Linked DNA regions of Arabidopsis thaliana. The protein of the gene in region 1 interacts with the protein of each later gene in a pairwise test. Each region holds a gene or a part of one and is shown in the gene's direction. Other genes may lie near its edges. The genes, in order: AT4G27350 and AT4G35160.

Region 1 (4,983 bases):
ACTAAGAGAGACAAAGGCAAGAGTCCGGTTAAATGGTGATGAAGGTCGTCATCGGAATTGGTGGTGCAAGAAAAGTTATTGAAACTTAGATCTTGTTCACATGTACCGAATACTAATATTAGGTTTTAGGATGTTTAACGATGTAAATTCCATATTAATCAAACTAACTGAGAGCTAACCGGCTGGTAAGGCAGAAGCTAAATAAAATTGATCTATAACCACATGATTTCTACACACAATACAGCTCTAATGAAAACATAAGATAAAGTTTTTGACCTCTAGACGTTTTTGTCTATGTAATTTGAGAAAGCAGTGTTTTCTTGTTATTGAAGACATCCATAACGACGAATCATGATTGATATTACAGTGAAAGAACTTGAATACTCTTTAACTTTAACACTACATCAATCGAAAAGGACTTGATTATTTTACAATACTGTCTAAATTAGCTAGAGCATCGGTCCGGGGGGGCCGGTTCACCGACTGATCCCTTAAAAAGCAAAATGGTAAGGCTGCCAACTGAGAAATGGATGAAGCAGCCACTGCAATGAGTCACGAAAGATCCGAAATGCGTCCCCACGATGCACTGCCACCCCGATCCGTAACTTCTATCAAATTCCTGAAAAAATCAAAAAGATTTGAATTTCATTGACATGAAACTCTAGTTATGGAGTTTGTATAACATTCATAATCATATTTCATTTCAGTATACATATGTACAGTGTATAGGTAGAAAATACATGTCTAGTCAGGATTAATACACATTAAAACTTGCAATATATGATTAGTGAACCTTCTTGATGAAACGGGCAATTTGAGTAGGTTCGGTGACATCAAAGCAATCAAGGGCTTTGGAGGCCAAACTAAGAGCATCTTCCTTCATTGTTTGCTTCATATCTGTATCACCCATTACTGCTTTCCCTTCTAACATCCTTTTTAAAAAAATTGAATATGATTATTTAACTCTAAAGAAATATCTAAGAGAACCAAGTTAGTTTATGCAAGTATATATTGTATGTTAATATTTCTATATATACTGAAAAATGATGGGATGATGTGTGTGTGAGAGTGAAGCTCCAAGATAGTGGTGGAGATTATGTTGGAACTTACATGAAGCGTCTTTTTTTTTACTTGTCGTAGTTTTATCAGCCACATGGATTTGCATGGACCGTTCCATATGTGGTCAAAACCAAATCATTCAATCGATTTCAAATATGAAGTACATATACACATCTATATTCATTTATATGATCATAAAGTGGTTGTTTGCCATCATTTTAAGAAAATTACCGTAAGCTTGGGCTGTTGTGCGGCATGTTGTAAAAGGAAAACACAATGTGAGTGGATACGATTGAACAAGCCATAGAAAAAGTGCAAGCAAGATTACAAGAGCAAAAACGAGTGAAGGGAAGAAGAAGGGACAAAAACATATGTGGTTCTCCTTTATTTCAAAATGAATTTCAGCAATGAAAAGAAAATGGACGTCAAATTTTATTTAACCTTCAGAAACTATACTTAGAAAGTTAGATTATTGTTTTATTTTTGAAGTTAAAAGTTTTTTTTAGAACTATAGAACTTTGTGGGTATATTTTGTTTTATTTACAATGTCATGTATGACTAGTTGAAGCTCTTAACATGTATTTTTTTTTACATCTTTACTAAATGTCTCTTAAGCTAATCTTTTCTTTCCATATTAATTCCCACTAGCAAAGTTGTTTTTTCTTTTTAATCTCAAATTTGTTAAACTAACAAATGTATATATATATTCCTTTTTTAATTGTTTTCTTTTTGTCAAAGTGTTTTCTCAATTAAAAAATATACAAAGAAGCAATATAACATTTTTTTTTAATTGTTGAGGTTGGCAAGTAAATCTTTCTTTCTTTTTTGCCAGGACGAGAAAGATTTGTTTTTTTAATTCTCTCTTTAAACGAAAACAAAAATAAACTCGTTGGCCAGCTCAAACAAAACTATTCGCCTGTCTTTCCCGACGTGTCACCGACCCGTATAACAAGGATAATAAAAGCTCCAATTTAATTTTTTATTTCTACAGCTTTTTCCACCAATACGATAATTTTCCATTTTTATAAAAAAAAACTTTATTTGAGAATTTTCCTTATTAAAAAAAGAAGTACAGTATAAAGGTAAAGACACTTTGCCGCGTTTCTCTCGGTGCCGCTCGACGTGTTAATCTTCTTCCTCCTGAAGATCTCTCTCTGAAAGACATTCTCAAATTTTCTCGGGAAAACACCTTTTTCTGATTCGTTTTTCTCCAGATCATTCCTTCTTTCTTATATCCGATTTCTTCGGGAGGAGGCGAAGAGACGGTCAACAATTTTATCCAATGTCGCGCCGTCTTTTCGCCTGTTTCGGCCTCAAGAAATCTTCAACTAAACCTATCTCTGGTGGTAACAATTCCGCCGCCGTAGCCGCAGAAATTCCCGCCGGAGATGGTCCCGTTCTCGTCCAGCTATTCTCGTCTCAGGGATGTAAAACATCGCCCGCGGCGGAGATGTTGATGTCCCGGCTAGGTCGAGGTGATTTCGACGCTCAGATCCGTGGCGAAGATGGTGGATCTGGATCTCCGACGATGGTTTTGGTGTTTCATGTGGATTATTGGGATTACAAGGGGTGGAAAGATCCGTATGGATCGAGCCAATGGACGGTGAGGCAGAAGGCGTATATAGAGGCGTTGAATCTGGATACGATGTTTACTCCGCAGCTTGTGATCCAAGGTCGTTCTCAATTGATCGGAAACGAAGAGGAGACGCTGCTCAAATCTATCTCCGAAGCGCCTAGGTTTCCTTCTCCAGCCTTCCGGGTGAGTTTTCGTAACATTGTAAACTATTCGATTGTTGTGGTGATTGTGATGATCTTGATGTGAAGGAATTAGATTTAATGGTAGATTTCAGCTCTTGTTTATGTGATTTCAATGTAAGTGTCTTGTTTTGTTTGAGTGTCTTCTGGTGCTAAATATATAGGAGAATATTATAGGATTCCAAGTGAAGCTTGTATCTGATTCTTGCGCCTTGCCTGCAGATTCAAGAGCATGTTCTTGTATCTGACTCTGTGTTAGGAAAATGTGTCCTATGGTTTGCAGTGTCGCTTGTCCTTGAGTCTTGTGAATGTTTAATATAGTAAATCAAAGAGTTCTCTTTAGGTACAGGGCTGTATCCAGGTCGCTGATGCTCTTTCTCTGTATCAAAATGATCATTAGACATTTAGGAGTAATATTGCTTTTAGAGGGATTTTGTCTCTGCTAAAAAAGTGGTCAATGTGGTTGCTTTCTAGATAGTTATAGGTATATATGACAGGGAATGTAGTTTTATGAATGCAGCAAGCTTCTATTGCATTAGAATTAGCTACTTTTGGTGAATTGACTAAACAACATCTGTGATAAATTTTTGTTCGACGACATGTTCTTGTTGATTGTGTCATAGGATTAGCTACCTAACTAAACTTTACTTCAACCATGAATTTTCTCTGCTCTTGAACTCAATGAGTTCTTGACTAAACAGAACAATGTGGCTCACTCTTCTTCATTGGCTTTGTCACTCTCCACATAAGTGGTGTTTTTTGTCGAAATTTTCACATGTAATATTAATCATTTGTTTCTCTCTTTACCAGGCGACTTTCCAGAGACCAACCTCAGAGACACTGCAAGTATCACTCACCGGAGCTTTGAGAATGAAAGTAGACGGAGACGGAATGGACATAATGGTGGCAATATACGAAACCGGGCTTGTGAACGACTGTGCAAGAGGAGAGAACGAAGGAAGAATGTTGTCGAATGATTACGTTGTAAGAAAGATGGAAAAGATGTGCACTGTGAAAGATGTAGCACCGAAGAAGCCAGTCTCGGGGACTGCTCATTTTACGCTCTGGGATGGATTCAACAGCAGCAAATGTGGAGTCGCCGTCTTTCTTCAGAACTCTTCTCTTCAGATTTTTGGTACACAGAGTTTTAAATTACCTGATGAGATTTGAGTTAATTTCCCTAATATCTGAAAAATAAAGAAAAGAAAACCGATCTTTGTATCGTCCATATTTTGCTTGTGATAATCATTCGGGTTCCACTCTGCTTTTGTACAGTTATAAATGTGTGACTACTTATAACTTAATAGGGTTTAAGGTTTCTTCTAATTTGTTTTTATTTCAACTCATATTATCCTAACCTTTCTCTTCTCATGCTACTTCATTTGATTTCTTTTTAAGTTAAACCCTTTTTTAGTTAATCAGTATGTCAAAGTTCCATTCCACGAATCTTGGTCCTGATAAATGTTGGGATGCATGAAACAGTCTAGTTGTTTATAAAACCCTAAACCCTTTTTATTGTTTTTTTTGTAAACAGTCTAGTTGGGATGTCAATGTGACATCGTTTTGACGCTTAGTTATTGAAACGACGTCGTTTAAAATTTTAGGATAATTTATTTTTGAAAATAAATCTGAAAGCAGAGTGATATGTTCGTTCTTATTGCCGATGAAATCTCTAATATGCTCCCTGAGTAATACCTTTGATGCACAAACGCGGGAAATGACCTTCATTGTCCCAACACCAAAACCCAAATCCATCAGGAAGCTGAGTGAATCAGAAAATGGTGTCAAAGCTTTCTCTTTTCCGAGCCAATTCACTTCCTTTTCCAGTCATCTCTTCCTACTCTGCTCGTTTTATCCTTAAACCCTATCCCAAACCTAAAACCCTTATCTTCTGTGTCTTCTCCAGTAATCTCTCCTCCACCACCTTTCCGTATGGCCCGTCTCTTCTGAAAGGAAAGAAGCCTGTGCTAGATGATATTAGATTAGCTTCAATTGGTCGAGACAGAGATGCCCATCGAGGCAAAATTGGAGAGTTTGATGAATCAATTGAGAAAGATGTTCTTTTGAATGAAGATGAATTTACTAGGGTTTTTGAGATTTCGGCGATTCGAGTCCCGGCGAAGGATTGTTTCGCGCTCGAGAATCGTCTCCGTGGTCATCTTCTTAATT
Region 2 (4,843 bases), 3.0 Mb from region 1:
AACCACTCTACATGAACAGTTTGGTTGACAACAACAAATTTATGAGAAAAAATATCATATTCAATGAAAGCAAGAGACATAATTAATAATCGAGTATGATCATGGTCCCTGCACAAAATGGCTCAGACAAAATATTGTACTGGTGTTTTTGGAAATATTTCCCACCGAGAATAGATGTCACACCAGAACTTTCAACTTTTGTGTGCGTAACTCTTTGCAAAGTTTTTCGAAAAATCCAACCTTGTTTTTAACATGTTTAAAATAGGACCTCAGATCAAGGTCAAGTGATCAGATGTGTAGGTTATGTGTGTTTATGCCGTCCATGCTCTGATTCAACATTTTTTGTGTTTACATATATCAAAGAGGCCATCCCAATAAGCAACCTCTTTTACTTTTCATGTTTAGAGGAATTTATTGACTACGTATTATTTCATTGATTTGGTCATTTGGAAAATCCTTGAAAGTTTTCGATTTTTATTAAAAAAATGAATATTACAAAGCTAAAAAAATGGAATTAAAATGATATATGTAAATTTTAACTATTATTTAGAAATGCGTTCGAAATAACAATTTTCACCCTCATATTTGAACTTTTGTTTTTCCAACTTGACACATATCTGTTAAAACTCACAAACTGATAAACCTCCTTGAATTTTTTTAATTTTTTTTCTAACTATTGCCTATGTTTTCTGTTTTACTATTGACGTCAACTATAATCTTGTATCTTGTATCTTACTGCCTTTTTTTTGTTATTACCATATAAAATGTGAGAAAAGAGACACTGTAAAAAGTAATAGTACACGAGATTAGCGACACTCACGGAGTGTAATCTTTATTTTAAAAAATCTTTGACGTCCACAGAACACACGAGATTAACGCAATTTCATTACTTCCATTTTTAAAGCTTTCTATTAATATATTGAAAGAAATCCTCTCTTACAAAGCGTCGTGAATGAAATCGCAAGTTTTTTAATTACATTAATGCATGATATATCATATAGTATAATCTAATCATCCTTTCGTAATCAGTGTGACTTCACTTAACTAGCGTACATGCCTATCTATAGTGACAGTAAACACGGTTAAAAAATTTGTTGTCTTATTAACAACCCCACACTAGCTAGTTGTGGATCTGTAATTTTCTGGCTTGGCAAAATTACATTAAACATTATTTTGGCACTACCATTAATATATCGAAGGAAACCAAGACACGCACAGGCTCCATAATCAAAAATTATAAAACTATATACAAATTAATGATGATACTACACCAAAGTATATATTCGAAGCAAGGCTAGCTAATTGAACTGAAAACATAGTCAGTGTAGTTTATCAACTTTCAATAAAAACATCATCCATGATGTACATGTGTACGTGTATACTAGAAGTCATTCTGCATGATGATTTTTTTTAATATACAAATGACACATGTCCGAGACATTTGACAGCTACGTTGATATGTATTCGTTTGGTTGACAGAGCTTGAGAATGCATTTTTTTATAAGGGAAGATTTAAGTCTATATTCGGTAGAATTTAACTCATAGACATTACTCCTAAGTTTTTGTTTTTATTTTTGAAAAAGCATTACTCCTAAGTTTCATGTAATATACAAGACGGAATGATGGATCAAAGTTGGTTGGCCAAAAACACCGAAGCAAGCTTGTCGATGCCTTTTGTCTCGACTAGTATTATTGTTACTAGCTTGAGACTAAATCTGATTGGAGTCCACACAAAATAAATCAATATTATTTATTAATGGATCTGTTTTGGAAATCCAAAGACAAATAATTCATATGTATATATATATATCTATAGTAGTATTCGGCGGTCGACAGTCGTAAACCTTCACAAAAAAATAAAAATAAAAGACAGTAAACTAACAAAATACCAGGTGGTCTGAACTCTATCTTATGAAAAAAAATATTGAATCGAATTCTTAAATGTCATATATATTGATGTCGGAACAATATTTTTTTATTGAAACACTAAATTCATTGAACATGTTGGGTTCAGTCCGGTTCAGAAATTTACTACTGTGTCTTTATAAAACCAAATTACTATTGTGCCCCCATTTTCCGATCGCTATAAAAAAAACCTAATTCCTCAACTCTAATTCACCATGTCTTCAGATCAACTAAGCAAATTCCTTGATAGAAACAAAATGGAAGACAATAAAAGAAAAGTATTAGATGAAGAAGCGAAAGCTTCTCTAGACATATGGAAGTATGTCTTTGGGTTTGCAGATATAGCAGCTGCAAAGTGTGCCATTGATCTTAAAATACCAGAAGCCATTGAAAACCATCCTTCTTCACAGCCCGTAACACTAGCCGAACTCTCCTCCGCCGTCTCCGCCTCTCCCTCGCATCTCCGCCGTATAATGAGGTTTCTTGTACACCAAGGAATCTTTAAAGAAATCCCCACAAAAGATGGTTTAGCTACAGGCTACGTTAATACGCCACTCTCTCGCCGTTTGATGATCACAAGACGTGATGGAAAATCGCTGGCTCCTTTTGTTCTCTTCGAAACAACTCCCGAGATGCTCGCTCCATGGTTGAGACTTAGCTCAGTCGTTTCTTCGCCGGTCAACGGTTCAACTCCACCACCGTTTGATGCAGTGCACGGTAAGGACGTGTGGTCGTTCGCGCAGGATAATCCCTTCCTCAGCGATATGATCAATGAGGCCATGGCTTGTGATGCAAGGCGCGTGGTGCCACGTGTAGCCGGAGCTTGTCACGGCTTGTTTGATGGCGTGACTACGATGGTTGACGTAGGAGGTGGTACGGGAGAGACGATGGGGATGCTTGTGAAGGAGTTTCCTTGGATCAAAGGATTTAACTTTGATCTTCCTCATGTCATTGAAGTTGCTGAAGTCTTGGACGGTGTTGAGAATGTTGAGGGCGATATGTTTGATTCTATTCCGGCTTGCGACGCCATTTTCATCAAGGTTAAATTCATTTCCATACTCTTATTTTCTTTTGATTAATAATAATATTCACTATGATTACTTTTTTTCTTCTTCTTACAACTTCCATTTAGTGTTCAAAACAAATTTTACATAAATGAAAAGATTAAAAAAATATCACTAAAAATCTAGTTTTATTCTTTCTTACAACTTTAATTCGTGTTCAAAATCAAATTTCACATAAAAGACAAGAAAAAAATGAATTAATGTTATAAACTAACTTTTTTTTCTTAATTCTAATTAAGTTGATTTGTTGCCGTAAAAACATTTTTGTTTTTGTCAATAATTGTCGAGCTTAATTACTGTTTCTAAAATCCGACTTTTTAAAAATTTTGTACAGACAAAAGGAATTGAAAATATTTGGATGTTGACTTCAGTATTTATTTTCTACCCTCTTCCATTAAAACATTAAACATGAATAGTTTAGATATGACATATTAAAGTAGCGAGCGAATCAACTGAGAGCAAGTTAACAATCACTATCAAGTATCAAATAAATAAAGCAACCACTACTAATTTCCCCAGATATTATTAACCAATACAGTACACATAAGAGAGATCTTTAATATATTAAAAACAAGGAAAATTGAACAGAATCTCACTTTAAGGATTTGTTTTGCTAATACAAAAAATGTAAAAAATGAATGGCGCAGTGGGTGTTACACGATTGGGGAGACAAAGATTGCATAAAGATATTGAAGAATTGCAAAGAAGCGGTCCCTCCAAATATCGGAAAAGTGTTGATAGTGGAATCGGTGATCGGAGAGAATAAAAAGACGATGATAGTGGACGAACGAGATGAAAAGTTAGAGCACGTGAGATTGATGCTTGATATGGTGATGATGGCTCACACAAGCACAGGCAAAGAACGGACTTTGAAAGAATGGGACTTTGTTCTTAAAGAAGCTGGCTTTGCTCGATATGAGGTTAGGGACATTGATGATGTTCAGAGTCTTATAATCGCGTATCGGTCTTAAGAGGAGGACATGAAAGATATATCTTTCCTTTGAGGAAAACTCAATAAATTAGTGATTGTTGATTTGGTGTTTTTATACAGAACGACGTGTGGGTGAATAATTGTGTTGTGTGATAATAAGTAAGGCTTGTTTCAGTATCAGCAGAGTTGTTTTTTATTTGTATTTTTCACATTTTTTTATCATTAATTTCCTTGTGAGTGGCACCTCTAATTTACTTTTTTAATTGTTATAGGCTATATAAGATAGATAACCTTATACAATGTCAAATCTTACAATTACATTATGAACATGAAAACAAATTAAAAATAAACTTGCTAAGTTTTCAAAATTATGTAAATTTGCTTGTAAAATCTTGATTTAGTGGAAAGGTATAATCATTGATATAAAAAGAAACTATAAATATCAAGAAATATTCTTAAAGTCTTAAATGCTTCAATCATACTTTCAAACATAAACAAGTGGTCCAACGAATAGACCCAAATATTACGTGGTTACGATGAGAGTGGCAGTGGGGTTTATACGATTGGGGAGATAAAGACTTGATAAAAACATGCTAAGCCATGTTTATTTGATCATTTGACATTTACATCCAAATGATCTATTTGAATGATTCATGTGAATGATTCATGTGAATGATGTTTGTTTGATCATTTGGTATTTTATCTAAATAATGTATTTAAATGAATATTTCTTTGCTTGATTATTTTTTAATTTATCTACATTCTCATTCTAATAAAAATGACTAAAAATACCCATGTTATAATTTTAACAAATGACAAATATTTAACATCATTACCAAATATATCATTTTTAATCTTTAATTTTAGTTATATTAATTTAATTATTGCTGTAAAATACATTTACAACGAAATAAATTATTATTTTAACATAAAAAATATGATT

Evidence for each region.
Region 2: the proteins of AT4G27350 (region 1) and AT4G35160 interact in a two-hybrid assay, tested with the Arabidopsis thaliana proteins (one large-scale study listed by BioGRID).

Annotation. Positions count from the first base shown.
Region 1 is NC_003075.7:13,689,980-13,694,962, reverse strand, and holds AT4G27350 (membrane lipoprotein lipid attachment site-like protein, putative (DUF1223)), read left to right. Parts: upstream 1-2,130; 5' UTR 2,131-2,341; coding exon 2,342-2,818; intron 2,819-3,624; coding exon 3,625-3,984; 3' UTR 3,985-4,318; downstream 4,319-4,983. Other genes in the region: VIIIB (P-loop containing nucleoside triphosphate hydrolases superfamily protein), read left to right, coding at 1-82; AT4G27360 (Dynein light chain type 1 family protein), read right to left, coding at 446-619, 794-931; AT4G27340 (Met-10+ like family protein), read left to right, coding at 4,593-4,983.
Region 2 is NC_003075.7:16,730,086-16,734,928, reverse strand, and holds AT4G35160 (O-methyltransferase family protein), read left to right. Parts: upstream 1-2,005; 5' UTR 2,006-2,120; coding exon 2,121-2,945; intron 2,946-3,616; coding exon 3,617-3,940; 3' UTR 3,941-4,226; downstream 4,227-4,843. UniProt on the Arabidopsis thaliana protein: Methyltransferase which catalyzes the transfer of a methyl group onto N-acetylserotonin, producing melatonin (N-acetyl-5-methoxytryptamine). Does not seem to possess caffeate O-methyltransferase activity.